Arabidopsis thaliana: one gene and its partner. The protein of the gene in region 2 purifies or fractionates together with the protein of the main gene of each other region. This does not show direct contact. Each region holds a gene or a part of one and is shown on either strand. Other genes may lie near its edges.

Region 1 (11,112 bases), on a different chromosome or scaffold from region 2:
AGTACCAGGGCACGCGCCACAACGTATGTCTCTCTCTTGCTTTCTCACTTTGCATTTTCCTTTTCAGCTCGGTAACGTGATCATGAATTGCAGGTTGGTTTTGAGATGGTGGACGCTTTGGCTGATGCAGAAGGCATCTCCATGAACACTGTTAACTTCAAGGCCTTGTTTGGGAAAGGTTCTCTTTTTCATTCTCTTATCTTCTCCATTGTGAATTTTCATTTTGAAATGGTTTTCTTATCTCAAAGTTTGAAACTTTCAAATTTCATACGTCTCAAATGTTTGATGAGGGTGATAGAAACAATGGCTAACTGTTTCCGGAGAATGAATATTGAAATAAATATCATTTTCTGTCTCTGGTTTGTTTCTAACTTTGGGTATTGTTTTCCTTTATCATAGGCGTTATTGGAAATATACCGATTATGCTGGCTAAACCACAAACTTTCATGAACCTAAGTGGTGAGTCTGTAAGTGAGCTCATCGGAAACAAACTTTGGTTTATTTAGTTAACCAATCTCTTTAACTTTTATCACTTGTTATTTTGATTCTTTCTGTTTATGATTGCTGGAATTCTTTGAAGGTTGGACAAATCGTTTCATTTTACAAGATCCCGTTAAAGCAAGTACTTGTGGTATACTTAACCTTCTCTCTCGCTTACTCTCCAAATTCTGGCTCTAGAGTGCATATGCCGTCTTAATTTTTTTTGTCTTTTTCAGGTTTACGATGATTTAGATTTGCCCTTTGGTAAACTACGTTTATTGCCAAAAGGTGGTCACGGAGGCCACAATGGGTACAATGCTTTTCACTCTCTATCTGGCCTGTTGATGTTTTCATTTGTGTTTTAACTTTTAAGTATTGTCTTACTTTTTACTTAAGAAGCAATGTGGATGGATAATAGTTTGCGGTTTCACTATCAAATCATAGAGAAACTCTACAAGAAAACATGATGGGTTGTTCTTTTACTTGCAGGATGAGAAGTATTATAGACCGCCTCAAAGGTAGCCGTGATTTTCCTCGACTAAGAATAGGTACAGTTCTCATTTTTCTCCACTCCGACATATCTTCCCATTTTCTTCTCTGGTTTTGCAAATTGTCGAATGTTTCATTTCAGGGATCGGACGTCCTCCAGGGAAGATGGATACAGCCAATTTTGTTCTCCGCCAGTTCAATAGACAGGAACAGGAAGAGGTAGAAGCAGATTTATCCCATAATTATCTCAAAAAATTTCAGAAAGACATAACCTGATTGTTTTTGGTTTTGCAGTTGGATCACACATTCCAAACCGGGTTAGAGGCAATAAGGATTCTTTTGCTTGAGGGGTTCAACAAAAGTGCAACATTTGTCAACACTCGAAAATCTATGGAGCAACTCAGTTAGAAGTGACATTGTTACATTACATATATTCATATAACAAACTACAAAGTGTTCTTGCTGATTCATTAATAATTTTTTTTTGGTTCCATACTTGAATCCTTTTTGAGCAAATTGTACATCAAAAGATAACCAGATTATTTGTTTATCATAATTTCTATTATGTAACTCGAAAATATGGATTTCAGTATTTGTTCGGCTGTAATTTAAATTATACACTTTCATTAAGCATAGACATTTTATTTGGCAATAAATCAGCTTCGTTTACTGCAAAAAGGGTGGTCACAAAAGTTGGTTCGGTTTAGAAAAATTGTGTTCGGTTCGGTTAGTTTCTTGAATAATTTAAACCCGACGGATTAAATGAGAGGTTTTGTGGTCCCCACAACTCGAACTCAGTAAAACCAAGTCGACCCGATTCAGCTGGATCCGAGATTACAGAGAACCCCGTCCCGTGTTTAAACCCTCCGGCGACAAAGCTCAGATAGAGAACCGCTCCACCCTTGTCGTTCGCTGCAGCCATGTACGGCGGAGGTGGGTTTCTCTTTAAACCCTTGAATTGCTTTGTCGTTTATCTTTTGAGACATTCCTGAGCTGTTTTTTTCCGTGGTGGGTTTTCACAGATGAAGTGTCAGCTATTGTGGTTGACTTGGGTTCGCACACTTGCAAGGCTGGTTACGCCGGTGAAGATGCTCCCAAGGCCGTTTTCCCTTCCGTAAGTCTTAATTACCAGCATTTTATGTCACTATAAGCTTAATGGTGTTATTGTAGATTTGCTCAAGTCCCTTGTATCTTCAGACTCTTAGTTTTTTTTTTGATGTGTTCATAAGGTTATTGGGGCAGTAGATGGTGTAGAGGCAATGGATGTGGATGTTGATTCTACAAAGACTAATTCGAACTCTGAGGATTCGAAGACCGAGTCTGAAAAGGAAAAGAGCAAACGCAAGCTCTATGTAGGATCTCAAGCCATGAGCTACCGCAGAGATCATATGGAGGTTAGTTTTTCTCCTTGATTAATGTTAAAGTTTATAACTTTGTTGGTGAAATTACAGATTGCATTTTCTCTCACCAGGTTTTGTCACCTATAAAAGATGGCATCGTTTCTGACTGGGATTTGGTGGACAATATATGGGAACATGCTTTCAAGTAAATGTGTAAAGCATTATATTTTCTCTTAATTGTTGTTTGCATTTCATCTCTAAAAAAACTTTGTCTTTTAAGGAGTTGTCTGATGATTGATCCTACGGAGCATCCAATGCTGCTAGCTGAGCCTCCTTTAAACACTCAACAGCAGAGAGAGAAGTATGATTTATCTGCTTTGAAATATCCTTTATTACCACTGTTGCTTTATCTTGGTGTGTTACTGATTTTCTCAAATCATATGCTTGACAGGGCGGCAGAGCTAATGTTTGAAAAGTACAAAGTTCCGGCACTGTTTATGGCTAAGAACCCTGTATATTCCCTCTCCCTTGGGTCATCATTCTTTTTGATAGATTATTATATGACGTTCACTGTAATGTTGATATCCAGTCAGCTCTTGTGTAATCAGATGTCTAACTATCTACATGAATTTGGTGTTTTTGGTGCTAGGTTCTCACGTCTTTTGCTACTGGGCGTGCTACTTCTTTGGTTGTTGACTGGTAAGACTTTAAGTATTAAAAGTTTCTCTAGTATGTAGAAGCTACTAATGTTCCACTTCTGCTCTATATGCTGTGAAAGTCTACCTTGTTCTGTATGGTGTATAATTTGAGAAGCACTGATGACACTTTATTGTATTTCTAGCGGTGGAGGATCCACAACCATTTCACCGGTGCATGATGGTTATGTTCTTCAGAAGGTACTTGTATTACACGATTTAGTAAGAATTCAGCTTTGTGATGCTGTTTCTTTGGGTTTGGATTTTGTACTGCAGGAGAAAGTTTCCCATCTCTCGTTTCCATAGTCATCTGTAGCTGCTATAAATTCTCATCCATGTGAATTATGACCTACAGCATTGATGTAGATTGTGATTCTCCGATTGTTGACCATACTTTTATTCGCAGGCTGTTGTATCGTCTCCACTTGGAGGGGAATTTCTCACTGACTGCCTACTGAAAAGCTTGGAGAGTAAAGGAATTAAAGTAGGTTAAAAAAATTCTTCACTGTTCTTTTCTTTTAAGCCAAATTATCTGAGTGATACTGGTTATTTTTTCTGCAGATAAGACCTAGATACTCTTTCAAGAGGAAGGAAGTACGAGCAGGGGAATTCCAGGTGCATATGTGGATCAGTGAATGAAACTACTAGCAGTGAATAGTCTCTAATTTCCTCCCTTTGAATCCTTGCAGGTTGAAGATGTGGATATTCCTGACACCACGGAAAGCTACAAACTCTTCTGCCAGGTCTGTAATTGATTATGAAACTTCGTTTGAAAATTTCAGTTGTGATAATTTGGTGATTTGTTTCAACAGAGGATGATAGTGGGTGATATCAAGGATTCCATTTGTCGAGTTCCTGATACTCCCTATGACGGTACCTTATGTTATTCTGTCTGTCTCTGGTTTCATAAATTTGTTTTATTTCAAAGTTTAAAGTTGCTTGAGAGTTGAACGTTAGATACTTTTTATCTTTCAATGTCATTTGATCGCATAGCCTTAGTTTTTCTGATGTGATGCATTTATCTGCAGATAAATCATATTCAAACATCCCTACTACGTCGTACGAGCTTCCTGATGGCCAGTAAGCTCAGTTTATATGTCTATTTCGGTTTATTTGTGCCTCAAATGTACATGCTACTGTTGCTTTTGTTTTCTACGTATAAGGTTTGAGCTTAGTTTCTAGCCAAATGTACCACTGCTCTGAACCTTGTTTAAGCTGAGATAAGTGCTTAGTTGGATCTGAGTCATTAAAGCCATTGGGCATAAAAGTTTAGAAGAGTCAGACATTGCTTTGGAAACCTGCATGGAACCTAATGTTCATAATGAGAATTAAGTTAAAAGAAAAAGTGCTAGCTTCATTGAAGACAGGAAGCTGCACCTGTAATTTTTGTAGTCTTTCTCAATATCTTATTAACCATGTCTGTTGAAGGACGCTCGAGATTGGTGCTGATAGGTTCAAAGTTCCTGATGTGATGTTCAACCCGTCCATAGTCCAGGTACACCATTTGAGCACGATAAATTCAACAGAAGATTCTGAAGACATTTTGTTTCTTATCTTGAGCGTTTTGAGCCTCGAATTATTTATCAAAGGTTTCTTCTCCGTTTTTATTGCAATTTGCAGACGATTCCTGGAATGGAGAAGTATGCTGAGATGATTCCTTCCGTTCGTGGGTTACCACACATGGTATATGCATGGTATTTAGTCATTGCAAAGCTTCCATCTCTTAACTTTTTCTAACTTTACTCTCCATTTTACTGACTTGTACAGGTCATGGAGAGCATCAACAAATGTGATGTAGACATCCGGAGAGAGTTGTATAGTAGCATACTGGTAAAATAGCAATCAATGCCAACTCTTAAATACCCCTACTTTTAGTTTCGTTGGATGTGGATGATTAACATTTCCTTTCTTCTCGCATTATGCCAGCTTGCTGGTGGCACATCGTCAATGCAACAGCTGAAAGAACGTCTCGAAAAGGACTTGATCGAAGTATTGTGTCCTAAACTCTTTTCCTCTGTCTTTAAAGCTATCCCAGTTTTTATGATGGCGAAAATCATTCATTGGTCCCTCTATCTTTGTTTCAGGAGTCTCCTCACTCAGCTAGAGTTAAAGTGTTGGCAAGCGGTAACACAACAGAAAGAAGATTCAGGTCTGGATTTAGTGTTCACTTCTTCCTCTATAATGAGACCCAAATTTTTTTGCTTGGATCAACCAACAAACATGTTATGTATGTGCAGTGTATGGATAGGAGGGAGTATATTGGCATCACTAGGCTCATTTCAACAGATGTGGTTCTCCAAGTCTGAGTAAGTCTCTGTTCTGATTTTCCATTAATCAGACTCGCAAAGAAACTATAGTTTGTTTTCTCTCCTGACACTCGGATTTGGGGTCTTGGTGTAAATGGCAGGTATGAGGAACATGGAGCTTCCTACATTCAGAGAAAATGCCCTTAAAGCAGGCAGTTTCAGATTATGTGGAGTCTGACAAGACGAAACTTGGAAACTAATGTGTTATTTTCATTGTGCATCGTTGTTCCTTGAAGATTATTAGTATTCCGCCTGAACCTTTTAGAATGAGTGTCATTAACAAGCATTATAGTGCTATTTTAAAAACATAAAAACATGTGGAAGAAGTTTCGTTGCTTTATTAGATTTTCGCACAATCAAGACCGTCCACGTTTTGTTACTACGAACCAAGATAATCCACAAAATTAACAAGAAAATAACAAATCCGAAACTACAAAAAGCAGCTTCATAAGTTTTCTTTTTCTTTTTTAAAAAAGAAGAAAAAATCAGCTTTATCGTGCCTCTCAAAAAGCTAATGACTTCGAAGTTCCAAAATTCCGGTCTTCGAACATATTTTATAGAATAGCAAAATGTTTTGAACCACAAGATTATTAATAATATAAATAATGTAATTGATATTGGTAAGTAATAATACTTTTATTAATCATAAAATGGTCTGAATAATAATAAAGACAAAATGGACGTAACTTCTCCGCCACTACAGACTTACGTGTCATGTCTCCATATCCGCATGCAAAATCCAATAGATGACACATTCTAAATCATCCAATTATATACGCCCACGTGTCAACCTCTGTCTCGTCTCTCTAAATAACGTTTACCGACCTTCTCTTGTGGACGGTAAGAATCGCCGGCGTCCCCTAATATATCGGATTTCAATCCAAAGACACACTCACAATTTAAAAAAAAACGTTTCTTTTCTCTTCGATTCCCGATTACGGCTTTTGATTTTGTGGGACTCTTCTCAGTTTTTCTGGGCTTTTGGTTTTTGGATTCTATCTTCTTTCATTTTTCAGATTTTTTATTTTATTTTGTTGTATTTCTATATTGGGAAACAAAATCATGCAGAGGATCGTCGATAATGCTCTTGCTATCACAAAAGAGTGAGTCCCTCTCTCTTTTCGATTTCACCATTAGTCTGTGCACGCTTATTGATTTTGTGATTTCTGATTTGTTTTTTTAGTTGCATGTTTAGTGGTTTTAGTAATTTGATATGTGATTTCAACTGTTTTGTTTCCTTAATTTGGATTTTAATTCGATTAGATTTTCTCAAATAGTAATTCGATTTGCTTTAGATATGGAAGTTGCCAAATTTTGAGCCAGTGGTTTTATAGTGGAGCTAGGAGCTAAGTCTATATCTTATATCTTCTGATTTACATTAATCTTGAGATTTAGTGGTATATAGTTTTACTAATTTGGGGATACATTTCTGATTTACCATTTTTAGTTAGTTGTTGAAGGTTTGTTGTCTCTTTGAAGAAAGTATACATATTGACTCTTTGTCCTGTAATAATTACAGCGATTCTCGTTGTATCTGCGGATAGTTTTCTTTGTTTAATGCTTGTCTGTTTGGGTTTTTGGTGTTCGTTGTGGGTTTTTGATTGGTATTAGGATTGTTTGTGTTAGTCTAAAATAGTTTTAAGCTAACTAATGATTTTGGTTTTTAGTGCAGGTCAGTGAAAACTCTGACTTATGAGTCTTTGAACAACATTGCAAGATGCATTAATGGATTTTCTGCGCTTCTCTTGACACTTTTGCCCGGAAAGTCCAATGTTCTTGAAGGTCTTCATGGATGGGAGCTTAGGCCTACATTGCGTGGACCTCGTTTACCACGCTGGATGCATAAGTAAAACTCTCTTCAACTCTCTAATACTTCTTTGTGGTTACCTTATAGCAGCTTATTCGACTCTCTTTTGATTTCTGTGGTTTTGCAGTGGAGTCTCTTCTTTCAACCACTTCATTCACGAACTCTCTGTGGATTCTGATACTTCTAGCTTGGACTATTCCTCTGGTGATGATGATAGTGATGGCATGTCCACGCCTCCATCACCCTTGTCTCAAAGCTCACTCCGCTCTTGGGCTAGTCTTCCTGCCAATTACGAAAGCCATTGGACAGACTGGATAACCTTCATTGTCTGGTGGGCTTTACTACCTGCCCGGATCCTTCTATGGGTACCATTATATCTTTTACGTCTTTTAGCTAGAAGAAATTCAAGAATGCAGCCTCTGAGCCCAGGAAGGTACCAACATTCGTCTAGACCTTGTTTTAGCAAAGCTATCTCAGGGAAAGAGCATGACGTGCCCAACCGAACTACTGATAAAAGACGCGGAGTCATTGAGGTTAGTGTTGATGGGCATACTTAAATCACATTTCTTGTTTTTGAGTTTTCTTACGCAATTATGTGTTCTACTTTGGCAGGATCTTCAGCTTGGTATCGAGATCTTTATAGAAACAATATTTGATTTCTTTCACAAGGCGGCACATCTTCTTCTTTCTCCATCAGAAACTTTTGGAATAGTTTTATCATGGTTCTCTTCCTCCAGTCACAGCTCTAAAGGAAACTATGGTGACGTTTCGGATGATGAGATCATTCAGACTGCCATTCTAGGAGATAACGATTCATCTCTTACAGAAAGAAGAACCACAACGAGCTTATACAATACAGATACCCGGACCTGTCAAGATGTTATAACAGAGCTTGGGTAAGGGGGGAATGTGTAGAAGATATTTCGTGCATAGTTGTTTTTTACTTCTGCTGTTACTCAACTATTTGCCCTTTCGATTTAACTTCTCTTATAATCTTGATAGGTATCCATATGAAGCTATTCGTGTTGTTACATCTGATGGATATGGTCTTCTCTTGGAAAGGATACCAAGGTATAGAATCTATTATGGTTGAGTAAGTTTCTCTATAGTCTGTTATGTTTCTGTAAGTTCCTTTAAAATGTAATCATCATGTCTTTCCAGACGAGATGCGAGGAAAGCTGTTTATTTGCAGCATGGTGTAATGGATTCTTCAATGGGGTGAGTTTCATTGTCTTTTTCGTTGATGACTTGTCAGGAAATGTTTTGCCTTGGTTTCTCATCTGGACCTTTATCTTCAGATGGGTATCAAATGGTGTTGTTGGATCACCAGCTTTTGCAGCTTATGATCAAGGTCCGTGCCAAAATATTCCTAGTTTCCCAAGTTACTGTATGATAAATATGAAGTTAAGATTTACCGATGTTTTACTCTGCTTTTCTTGCCAGGCTACGATGTTTTCCTAGGGAACTTTCGTGGTTTAGTTTCAAGAGATCATGTGAAAAAAAACATATCCTCAAAAGAGTGAGTAGTATAGAATAAACGGCTTCTTTATGGATTTGATATTTGTATAGTTCTTATTGATGAATCCTCAAAACATGCAGTTTCTGGCGTTACTCCATCAATGAACATGCAACGGAAGATATCCCAGCAATGATAGAGAAGATTCACGAAATCAAAACTTCAGAACTGAAACTTTATCAGCCTACTATGGAAGAGGTAGTAAACGAGGATCAACCGTATAAGCTTTGTGTTGTATCTCACAGTTTAGGCGGTGCCGCGGTTCTGATGTATGTAATCACCCGTAAAATCGAAGAGAAACCGCACAGACTCTCGAGACTGATCCTTCTTTCGCCTGCTGGGTTTCACTATGACTCCAACATGTGTTTCACGTTGATGGAGTACACGTTCCTTTTCTTGGGTCCTGTACTATCTCGGATTGTTCCTGCTTTCTACATCCCCACTAAATTCTTCCGGATGCTTCTCAACAAGTTAGCTCGAGATTTCCATAACTATCCTGCTGTTGGTGGATTAGTCCAAACATTGATGAGTTATGTAGTTGGCGGAGATAGCTCAAACTGGGTTGGAGTCATGGGATTGCCTCACTATAACATGAACGATATGCCAGGTATATCCTTCCGTGTGGCTCAGCATCTTGCACAGATTAAACATAGCGGTAAGTTCAAGATGTTTGATTACGGTAGCAGTTCAGCTAATATGGATGTTTACGGGTCCCCTGAGCCGCTCGATCTTGGGGAGTTTTATGGGTTGATCGATGTGCCTGTGGATTTAGTAGCTGGAAAGAAAGACAAAGTGATTAGACCTTCAATGGTTAGGAAACATTACAGGGTGATGAGAGATTCAGGAGTAGATGTTTCTTACAATGAGTTTGAGTATGCTCATTTGGATTTTACCTTCTCTCACCGTGAAGAGCTTTTGGCGTATGTGATGTCGCGGTTACTTCTCGTGGAGCCAACGCAGACTCAGACGGTTCATAAGAAGGGGATGAAGCTGAAGAAGAAAATGGAAACAGGCAAACCTCATCTGTGAACTACTAGAAGAGGCTTTTATAGAGTTTATGTTTGTCGTCTTTGTAATGTTTTTTGTTCACGAAAGTCGGCTTTAAACAATTTATGTATATATGAATATGGTTTTTGGTATCTCTATTTATGTCAGTGTCACTTTCCATAACAATTTAAGTCGTGGACATTAAAGCATAACTTAGTTTGTGATTTATACAAAAAAGAGATGGATATTATACAAACTTTGTATGTTACAGCTAAAGTTTGAATGAGGTTTCCTACAGAAAAATACATACACGTATACACCTATACTTTTTTTTATACTAGCTGCTGATTCAGACAAACAAAAAGATTCAGCAAAAACATCAGAAGTTTGGGAAACAGTATGGTTGGTAAACTGGAATGTTTGTCTGGAGCATCAACCACAAATCCTACTCTTGATCATGGGCCAAAGTTAACACAGTCATACGTCGTATACAGATAGTCGTTTTTCAATGTCTATACGACATATTGGACATGTTGTACACTTGTCTGCACAGGTTCTGCAACAAAAATGGCACAGAAACAAAAAATTGTGAACAATGACATTAAGTCAGGTATGACACTGAGTCCAATGAGTATATTGATATGACCTCAGTCCTCATAGATTCCTAGTTTCTTTGTACAGTATTTCTAGACGAATTGAGCGCAAATGCATAAAATTTTAAGTGTAACATGATCAAGTATCTTTACCTGCAGAGAACACGGTGTCTACATGGAAGCAGTACCAAACTGATATCTTTTTCAAAGCAAACCCTACACAGCACTTTCTCCTGGAGTAGAAGACACATTGACACAGGATTAAGCAAAGGGAAAAAGTAAAATCGAAACAAGAAAGTTACAAAAACATCATGGCTAATAAATGAATATACATTTTGCAGTCTTTCATATTCCTGCTGGCTGAATTTTGTGATTTCTGTTTGTTCACCAAGTGCTGCTTGAAGTCTCCACACCTAGAGATATCAAATTAGATTGAATGCAAACAACACTTAAGCAATGCTGAAACTAGAAGAAACAAGATTCAACAACAAAGAGAACCTAAAGTTAATATCAGCACTGAATTGGGAAACAAAAAAATGCCAGAGAGGTAAAGTTACCTCTTCTGCAAGATCTTCCTTTGGCATTTTCTTGACTATCTCAGGCGGATGACCACTGAATGTATTGTAACTGCACAATTATATTATAATGAAATCTTCAGCAGATCCCATAACATCTTTGTTTGACCATATAGAAGGTTGGAATATACTAACTAACCCAGATTCTTGATCAAAGTACAGTCGAGCTTGTTCCTCCCGGCTTCCTTCGTCAATTGACCACCAACCTAATAGCCTGAACAAGTGAATTGATTGATTGATTTTTTGTTAGTACTACATTTTGTAAATTAAAACTTTTGGGAAAATAGACAGACGTGTTTGTCACCTGGAACCATGGTGCAAGAA
Region 2 (9,096 bases):
ATATTTTATTTTAGCCTCATTGATTGCTTCACGTTGTACCTTCTTCCTGTGATCCTGTTCGTTTGATCTAACTTTCTTCTTAATCATTGTCGAATTTTCGAAACACTTCTCCTCCGTTAGTAAAATCATTTTTTTTTGGGGGTAAACTAGCCGTTAGTAACAATTTTTTTTTTTTTTTAAATCATATTTGACGGAAAAACGTTTTACATTTTATTTTAATCCGAGTTATTGCATCACGAGAACGTCGAGAAGACAATATTAACTTGTTATATACATCTCGTGTTACCTGCCTATTTTGTTCATTGTCCATTCTCTTTTCTCGAATATGCGACATCTATTTTTATGCTTCTCCTCCTCCTCTCATATTTTATTAGAGTAGATATTTGCATGTGTCACCGCAATTTTCGCGTTAATCTATCCAATTTATAAAATAAAATTAAAAAAACTAATTTAGTAGAATATGATCTTGAAGAATGATTTAAATTCATACACTTGTCGAATATCGAACGTAATGTTACAACCTCAATTACTTTTATCATTCGATGAAATAATATACTTTAGTGTGTAGAAGATTGAAGAAGCAAGAGGATTATTTAAGAAAAAAAAACAAATGAGATGAAGTTTGGGTGGTAAAAAATAATGGAAAGTAACTAGAGATTATTGAGGAAAGTCTTTGAAAATAGGAGTAGTTTATACATAGATATCAAAGCATATACTAAAATATTATATGAATGGGATCCATGAAGATGATGAATTCAAGCTCGTGCGTCAAATCTCTATTGAGTATTGACCATTATTTCCTCCTGCCTCCTTTTGTCGTTTTGAAGCTCATCAACAATGGAAGCTTCAACTTTTATTCTTCTTCTTGTCCTTGTGCTGTTGCTTGTCTCTGCGGGAAAACATGTGATATATTCTTGCCGCAACTCTACACCGAAAACATACCCGGTTATCGGATGCTTAATTTCATTCTATACCAACCGAAACCGGTTACTGGATTGGTATACAGAGCTCCTAACCGAATCCCCGAGTCGGACGGTAGTCATTCGCCGCTTAGCTGCACGGAGAACCGTAGTGACGGCGAACCCCTCGAACGTGGAGTATATCCTCAAAACAAACTTCGACAACTATCCCAAAGGCAAACCTTTTACGGAGATCCTCGGAGATTTTCTCGGCAACGGGATCTTCAACGTTGACGGAAACCTCTGGTTAAAGCAGAGGAGACTTGCTACACACGACTTCACCCCAAAGTCGCTGAGAGAATACGTCACCGTTTTGAGAAACGAGGTGGAGAAGGAGCTCTTAGCGTTTCTAAACGCAGCTGCGGAAGATTCACAACCCTTCGATCTTCAGGAGCTTCTCCGTAGATTCACTTTCAATATTGTTTGCATTGTTTTCCTCGGGATCGATCGTTGCACTTTAAACCCTTCCTCCCCCGTTTCTGAGTTCGACAGAGCCTTTCAGACAGCTTCTGCGGTCAGCGCTGGACGCGGTTCCGCACCGCTGTCTTTTGTGTGGAAGTTTAAGAGACTGGTCGGTTTTGGATCTGAGAAAGAGCTCAGAAAAGCCGTCGGAGAAGTCCATAACTGCGTCGATGAGATCATTCGGGATAAGAAGAGGAAGCCTGCCAACCAAGACTTTCTCTCGCGGTTGATCGTCGCCGGAGAAAGCGACGAGACGGTGAGAGATATGGTAATAAGTATCATAATGGCGGGGAGGGACACCACGTCGGCGGTAGCCACACGGCTGTTTTGGTTGATCACCGGTCACGAGGAAACCGAGCACGATCTGGTTAGTGAAATCCGATCGGTCAAGGAGGAGATAACGGGGGGTTTTGATTACGAATCATTGAAGAAACTGAGTTTGTTGAAAGCGTGTTTGTGTGAAGTGATGCGATTGTATCCTCCGGTGCCGTGGGACTCCAAACACGCCTTAACCGATGACCGGTTACCAGACGGTACGTTGGTGCGTGCCGGAGACCGGGTAACGTATTTTCCATATGGTATGGGGAGAATGGAAGAGCTATGGGGGGAAGATTGGGATGAGTTTAAACCAAACCGGTGGGCTGAGTCTTATGATAAAACCTGCTGCAGAGTTTTGAAAAAGGTGAATCCGTTCAAGTTTCCGGTTTTCCAAGCCGGCCCAAGGGTTTGTCTTGGGGAAGAGATGGCGTACGTGCAGATGAAGTATATTGTGGCTTCCATACTTGACCGGTTTGAGATTGAACCGATCCCTACGGATAAACCGGATTTTGTGCCAATGCTCACGGCTCACATGGCTGGTGGGATGCAAGTCCGCGTTCATCGGAGAGATCCTTCTCTTTCCCCTTGAATATACAAACAAAGTCAATTATCATGGCTTTTTATTTTATGTAAAACGTCTCTATGATCATTCATACCCAAAATTATTTTCTCCTTTGGGTAAACAACTCAACTTTTTTTTTTTTTTTTTCAATCCAAGTCATAAAGTCTCTACTAAATTTTTGAGTTTTGAAGAAAATTCAACCAATATTAGCTCAGTTATTATATTTTTGTTTGAAAATGACCCATTTTGCATTTGTTATCATCTTGGGATGATGACTATATTAAAAGTTCAACGTGAGAGCACAATGCCTTGGTCTTTTTCTATCCATAATAATACGTACGTTATTATTATTCTACAAGACTAGATCGAGCCAATTGGAAGTCAGTACGTGGAATCTACAAAAGAAAGTGAAAAAGTCAAGTATTTATCTTTCTTATATTTTGTCGCATATGATGCACGAGCTACAAACCAAAGTAAAAACTCTTGAAACTTGAGTAACAATGTTTCACTTAGAAAAAAAACCTATAAGGAACGACACTGATCAAGTGTCCTGGACCTAAGTGACTTCTAGGTAAAAGTAGTGAACTCATGAACTTCTTGGCCCATCTGCATCTTACCCGCCTGCTGGCTTCCGGTTCAAGTAACGTATTGCAGCATCCTCCACCCTGCAAGAGAATTCTCAGTGATTGTAAGACAAGTGATGAAAAGCAGAACAGTAGAGATTATTACCATGGCTGATTGAAGAACTCTGATCGGCCTTCTTTCTCAGCGTTTCGACTTGCTTCTCCTGCAACAAGCTTCAGATCTTTGGTCTGAGATTCCATCAAGGCATTGGTGAATTCCACCGGTGACTGGCTAAACCCTAAGAAAAACGCCCGTCTCCTTCTGTGCTCGTGGATTTTCCTTATGGCTCCGCATATGGCTTCATCACATGCCTCAATCTCTTTGTTCTTCTCTGGATTAGCGAGCAGATTGGAAAGCTCCGTTTGGACCGGTGCTGGTATGTCCACAAGCACATCGTAACATGCTGAGATGGCTGGATTGTTCCCCGAAAGCTTGATCTTGTGTACAAGCTGAATGGGAGGCGGAGGTGATAGGTGCTGAGATATCTTATGAGAGAGCATAGTGAATTTCATCTTCTCTTCCCCAAAAACACTGTGGAGAGCAGCATCACAGTTGAAGAAAGAAGGGTCGTTTGGGTTTTGCAGTTTCCTGACTTTCACGTAATGCCAGATTGCCGCAATGATTCTTGGGCGAGTGTCAACCTCAATGCCCAAAACTTGCATCAAAGCAGGAGAAGTCTTGAACTTCTCAGGGACGTAATTCATCTCCAACAGTATAGTAGCTGCAAACTCCTGACACCCTATCCTCTTTATCTCAAACCCTTCCAGAGGAGCAGGCGATCGATCCCTTTTCCATTCGATCAGATGGTTCTCAGGATACAGGCTCTGGTCCAGGGATATCTTTAACGTTTTGAAGAAAGACGAGAACTTGGGATAAAGTGGGTTTGAATTCTGAACTAATCCACCAGTGTGGTCAGGATCCAGGACCCTGCCGAAAATCCTAAGAGTCCATGTGGGAGGGTCAGGACCAGGGATCTGGTTGGAAAAGGTGTTGAAAACGTAGATCCTAAGGGTCTTCTGAATGGAAGGAGGGTTCTTAAGGGAGTCTTGGATGTCAACTTTCTTTCTGAAGAGAGCGGCATCAACCCGAGACTCAAACTCAAGAAGCTGTGTGTAGAGAGCAGACTCGGGCAAGACGGCAGCAACGCGCTCCTGCAAGGAGGACTTGTCTGGAAGCTTATGTTTCTTTTTCCTGGAAGCTGGAGTCAACTCCATACTAGGAGGAACAGCAGGAGGTCCTCCAATGGGAGGTTTATGTGGGAACCTTCTTCCAGGAGCACTAATCCCTTGGTCTTGAGAGAGCTGAAACTGAGGTTGAAAGTTAGGAGGGGCCATGTGGGAGGGAGCAAACGATGCAGAGGCCATTCCAAATGGCCAAGGCAGAGAGCTTTGAGGCCCTTTTAGTGCGTTCAACTCGTTATTCCCAGACATTGCTGATCACAAAAAATTGAATACAATCCCAAATTGGTGTCGACAGTAGTTACTCAGTAATTTTGGCTAGAAGAACCTCATCAAAATCACAACACACACACTCTATCGAATTTTGCCCTTTCTAAGCCGAACGTAACCCTAATTTAGTGCTGCGCGAGGATAGAGCCCTAATCAATTTCCCCCCAAATCTAAATAGTAAGATATAGGACACAACTTCTTCTTCTTCAATACAGCAGAAAGCGTATAATCTCAACTCCAGGAGAAAGAAAACAAATTCAATTCCCTCTGGAAGAAGAAGATGAAGATGATTCTTCTTCGAAAAAAAAAAAAAAAAAAAGACACGGCGGACCTATCAATGCCCACCTGAATTCTTCAACCGGGTCAAAACCCAACCATTAGTTAAAGGCCCAACGGCCATGGTTCGTGGGTCCATATTTAGATGGATCAATATTGCTTCTCGGCAATAAATCTAATTCCATGACTATAGGTAAAAAATCAAATTAAATCTAATCCAAATTATTTTTAAAAAAACTCTTAATAATCTACACCAATTTATTTCCAGATAAATACTATTTTTTAACTCTAAAACTAAGATCATGACAACCTTTTTTTTTCCCAAATAACTCTAAAATTTTTAATTAGCACATCTACATCTTAATTCTTAACAGATTCTATAGTATTATTGTTACTAATTAGAAATTACAATGATTATTTTCGACAAATGTAAACCTTATTGATATATAACATAATGCAATAATTCACAATAAAACACTAAGAATATTGTTCATCACCGGTCCAAGTCACCTTAACTTTGGGACCAGTTGGACCATCTTGACCCCGCATTTCTAAAGGAATTTTGTTGATGAGTTTTCGCAAACCTTTCCGTAAAAAGATGGGCAAAATCTTTGCGACAGAGTTGAGAAATATGTCAATCCTGTAATGGACTCGAGGTCCCCATTTCCTAAAATAATTCAGCCACGGTGGCTCAACCACGCCAGGTCCCGCAATCACTTCATATCCAATACCTGCGTCAAAGCATTTGTCGCTTCTTGCCATGTCGTTCCTTATTCCACTTTTGCCGCCACCTTGCAACACGACTCCAGGTTTGGAGAACATTGCATGCCCATGAAGAGACGAATATACTACTGGTTTGTTTCCACCTTGCATGAACTCTAGATCGCATGCATCCACTAAAGTTCCTCCACTGTGTTCAGAAAAGTAAACACGCCATAACTCACCATTGAAGTTGCTGATGCGTAATGTAACGTGTTCCCAGTCTCCAACATGCTCGCCAATATTTCCTAGCGACAGGCTCTTGATAAACAAAAATTTTAAATGTGCATTTCCGTTATAGGGAAAGAATAGCCATACTACAATATCTGTGAAAGTAGCTCCAAACATTGGTTTGATGTGTAGATACACCTTAGTGCTCTCTAAATCTCCCCTCTTAACCTTTTCTCTAGCCTTTTTATCGACTAGATAATCTAACCAAAACAAGTCATCATTGCAACCTCCTTGTGGAAGGTTTGAACCATTTGGATGTATCGGGACCGGGATGGATTCGTTTCCTTTCTTGTGTAGCAAGGCACCGTTAGCGAAAACCCAATTGACAGAGGAAGGAAGGAAATCTTCTTTTGGGTGTAAATATATCCAAGGAGAATACGTTTTAAACAAAACTCTAGTTTGATTTTCGCTTGGCATGCTTGACAAGTCAAATTTTGTATTTTTTAAGCAGAATAAAGGAGGGGGATGAGGAAGAAAGTTTAGTTGTTTGCAGCTGAATGTCCCTGTGAACACACCTGTCGCCTCTACTCCTCTCGTGGCCGGTCTCAAACTAGAAATAGTCATATCTTTTATCCTCCATACCCATGTATCGGCTTCACTCTGTTCTGTGAGATCAGATCGAACACAGCTTATAGAATTTTGTCCCAAAGAGGGCTTCATAGGAGAAGTAGTGACATATAGACCAACCGCATGATATCCATTAGGACATAGGGGCTGCCAAAAATATGCAGGCCCCTCTTGTTTGATAAGCAATGTTGTAGTGTTTCCAACTTCAGTGTAGTCGACTGGTGGTCTTAAATTACTTCCCGATACGTCTTTTGCAACAAGAATCCAACCAAAAAGCTGTCGGTTGTTAGGTTGTGCATAGAAGCCAAGTTTGAAGAAATTACGAGGAATAGTAGTTGGTTCAAAGATGCTGACTCCCATGTTATCCGGCCCTCCTTCATAAGTTCTCCACACTCTGTGTGATGTTGAGTTTGAGATAGAGATTTGAGTAACCTCAAGACCTCCCATATCAATGCTTCTTTTGCCAAAATTTCCACCATCGGAAGGCATACTAGGCAAAGGACTAGGAAATTTAAAGCTTGTTTCCACCGGTAAACCATTAGACGAAAGATAAGGATATTTGAATGGATACCCTAAAGAATTTACGTAGGAAATGTTGGTCAAAGGGTTAGTTCCAGTTTCTGCCCATGACAATTGCTTAACAAATAGAAAAACAAAAAACAATAGAAATTTTAAGTAGGTTTCATACAAGAGTTGCATTTTCTTTGGTCAGTTAATCATTTTAAGATTAGGTGAGCAACCTTCATTCCCTACATATATATTACATATATATAATTATAATTCTGTCAGAAAAGGAACACATGAAACAGTTGATGACTACAAAAAACAATTATGCAAAAAATCAACAAATGATCAGAGCACAAAATATTGTATATTTTGCAATATGAAAATAATTCCATAATTAACCTATACATATACATTGAATATAAATATTTATACCAAATTTCCAAATTGATTTCATAAGCTTAAAAACAAAATCTGAATGTATTATATTTTTTGTGATAGTCAAAGAAACATGATACCATAGATGGCTACGAGGAGGTTCTGAATTTGATTTTTAGAGGAGATTAATTTGTCTTGTTTTTTTTTTGTAGGAAAAGGGGATACTAATGTCTCCCACAAATTCTGAATTTGATTTTTAGAGGAGATTAATTTGTTTCTTAAATAAGTAATCACATCAGATTTTTAATCATTTTCACTTATTAATTTTCAACCACATCATATATATATTATGGAATTAATAAGACAAGATATCCATATAATATTAATTATTATTTTTGGGTTCGAGTCCTTTTTAAAAAACACTTATGCCAATCTTTAATTCTTGAAAAAATGAGATGTAATAACTTTTTTTTTTTGGGCAAAAACTGAGATGTAATATGTAATAACTAAATAAAGAAAAGTGTACCCAATTGTAATAAATTGTTAACCTTAATCAGACATGAATGAAAAATTAGTCATCACCGGTCCAAGACCTTTTGACTTTGGGTCCAGTGGGACCATCTTCTTCAAGCACTTCACGAGGGATTTTGTTAATCAGATTTCTGAATTTTTTCCGCAAAAGTCCCGGCAATGACTTTGCGATACCTTCAAGGTTCTTTTGAATGTCATGTGGGACAAGTGGTCCCCATTTCCTGAAATAGTTGAGCCACGGTGGCTCCTGAATCCCCGGTCCTGCAACCAGCTCATAAGCAACACCTGCGTCAAAGAATTTGTTACTTCTTGCCATGTCGTTCCTTATGCCGTTTCCGTCATCGCCTTGCAACACAAGTCCTGGTTTTGAAAACATTGCGTGTCCGTGAAGAGACGAGTAGCTCACAAGTTTGTTTCCACCTTGAAACTCAAGATCGCATGCCTCCACTAGAGTTCCCCCACTGTGCTCAGAGAAGTATGCTCGCCATAACTCTCCGTTGAAGTTGCTGATGCGCAACGTAACATGTTCCCAGTCTCCAATATGTTCGCCGATATCCCCCAGCGACAGGCTCTTGAAGAATAAAAACTTGAGGCGGGCGTTACCGTTGAAAGGGTAGAATATCCACACGACAATGTCAGTGAAAGTGCCTCCAAACATTGGTTTGATGTGTAGATACACTTTCGTGTGTCCTAAGTCTCCCCTCTTAACCCATTCCTTTGCGTTCTTATCAGCCGGATAGTCTAACCAGAATAAACCATCATCCGAACCGCCCTGCGGAAGGTTTGAACCGTCCGGTTGCACAGGGACGGGGTTGGATTCGTTGCCTTTCTGGAATAACAGGGCACCATTGGAGAAAAACCAGTCGACAGAGGAAGAAATAAAATCTTCATCTGGATGCAAATATATCCAAGGAGAATACGATTGAAACAAAACGGTAGTTTGATTATGGCTTGGCATGCTAGACAAGTCAAATTTTGTGTTTTTCAAGCAAAACAGAGGAGGGGGAGGAGGGATGTTCAATGGCTGGCAGCTGAATGTCCCTGTGTGTACACCTGTTGCTTCTGTTCCTCTGTTGGCCGGTCTCAAACTAGACAGAGTCATTTCTTCTGTCCCCCAAACCCATGTATCGGTTTCACTCTGTTCCGTAAGATCGGATCGAACGCAGCTTATAGATTCTTGACTTAAAGATGGCTTTATAGGAGAAGTAGTGACATATAGACCAACCGCTTGATATCCATTGGGACATAGGGGCTGCCAAAAAAAAGCAGCCCCTTCTTGGTTGATATTCATTGATGTAGTGTTTATGACTTGAATGTAGTCAACGGGTGGCCTCAAGCTATTTCCAGACACGTCTCTTGCAGCAAGAACCCACCCAAAAAGCAGGCGGTTGTTGGGTTGCCCATAGAAGCCAAGAGTGGAGAAGCTGGGAGGAAGATTGATTGGTTGGAAGATAGAGAGCCCCATGTTGTCGGGACC

The links.
Region 1: the proteins of AT3G01890 (region 2) and ARP4 purify together in Arabidopsis thaliana (affinity purification with mass spectrometry; 2 studies listed by BioGRID, with this or other methods). This does not show direct contact.

The regions. Positions count from the first base shown.
Region 1 is NC_003070.9:6,346,310-6,357,421, forward strand, and holds ARP4 (actin-related protein 4), read left to right. Parts: upstream 1-1,738; 5' UTR 1,739-1,889; coding exon 1,890-1,902; intron 1,903-1,991; coding exon 1,992-2,083; intron 2,084-2,198; coding exon 2,199-2,363; intron 2,364-2,440; coding exon 2,441-2,514; intron 2,515-2,589; coding exon 2,590-2,670; intron 2,671-2,760; coding exon 2,761-2,821; intron 2,822-2,958; coding exon 2,959-3,008; intron 3,009-3,150; coding exon 3,151-3,205; intron 3,206-3,410; coding exon 3,411-3,488; intron 3,489-3,565; coding exon 3,566-3,619; intron 3,620-3,693; coding exon 3,694-3,747; intron 3,748-3,816; coding exon 3,817-3,877; intron 3,878-4,032; coding exon 4,033-4,084; intron 4,085-4,432; coding exon 4,433-4,499; intron 4,500-4,624; coding exon 4,625-4,687; intron 4,688-4,771; coding exon 4,772-4,834; intron 4,835-4,930; coding exon 4,931-4,993; intron 4,994-5,088; coding exon 5,089-5,153; intron 5,154-5,241; coding exon 5,242-5,310; intron 5,311-5,411; and 3 more. Other genes in the region: AT1G18440 (Peptidyl-tRNA hydrolase family protein), read left to right, coding at 1-23, 94-178, 400-467, 581-631, 717-790, 970-1,028, 1,112-1,188, 1,264-1,377; AT1G18460 (alpha/beta-Hydrolases superfamily protein), read left to right, coding at 6,373-6,413, 6,983-7,156, 7,245-7,650, 7,730-8,013, 8,120-8,188, 8,279-8,335, 8,416-8,468, 8,561-8,636 and 1 more; AT1G18470 (Transmembrane Fragile-X-F-associated protein), read right to left, coding at 10,098-10,176, 10,367-10,446, 10,546-10,626, 10,771-10,840, 10,928-11,002, 11,093-11,112. UniProt on the Arabidopsis thaliana protein: Involved in several developmental processes including organization of plant organs, flowering time, anther development, flower senescence and fertility, probably by regulating the chromatin structure.
Region 2 is NC_003074.8:305,591-314,686, reverse strand, and holds AT3G01890 (SWIB/MDM2 domain superfamily protein), read right to left. Parts: upstream 4,681-9,096; 5' UTR 4,356-4,680; coding exon 3,031-4,355; intron 2,967-3,030; coding exon 2,915-2,966; 3' UTR 2,614-2,914; downstream 1-2,613. Other genes in the region: CYP94B2 (cytochrome P450, family 94, subfamily B, polypeptide 2), read left to right, coding at 838-2,328; AT3G01880 (vacuolar sorting-associated protein (DUF946)), read right to left, coding at 5,127-6,905; AT3G01870 (hypothetical protein (DUF946)), read right to left, coding at 7,660-9,096.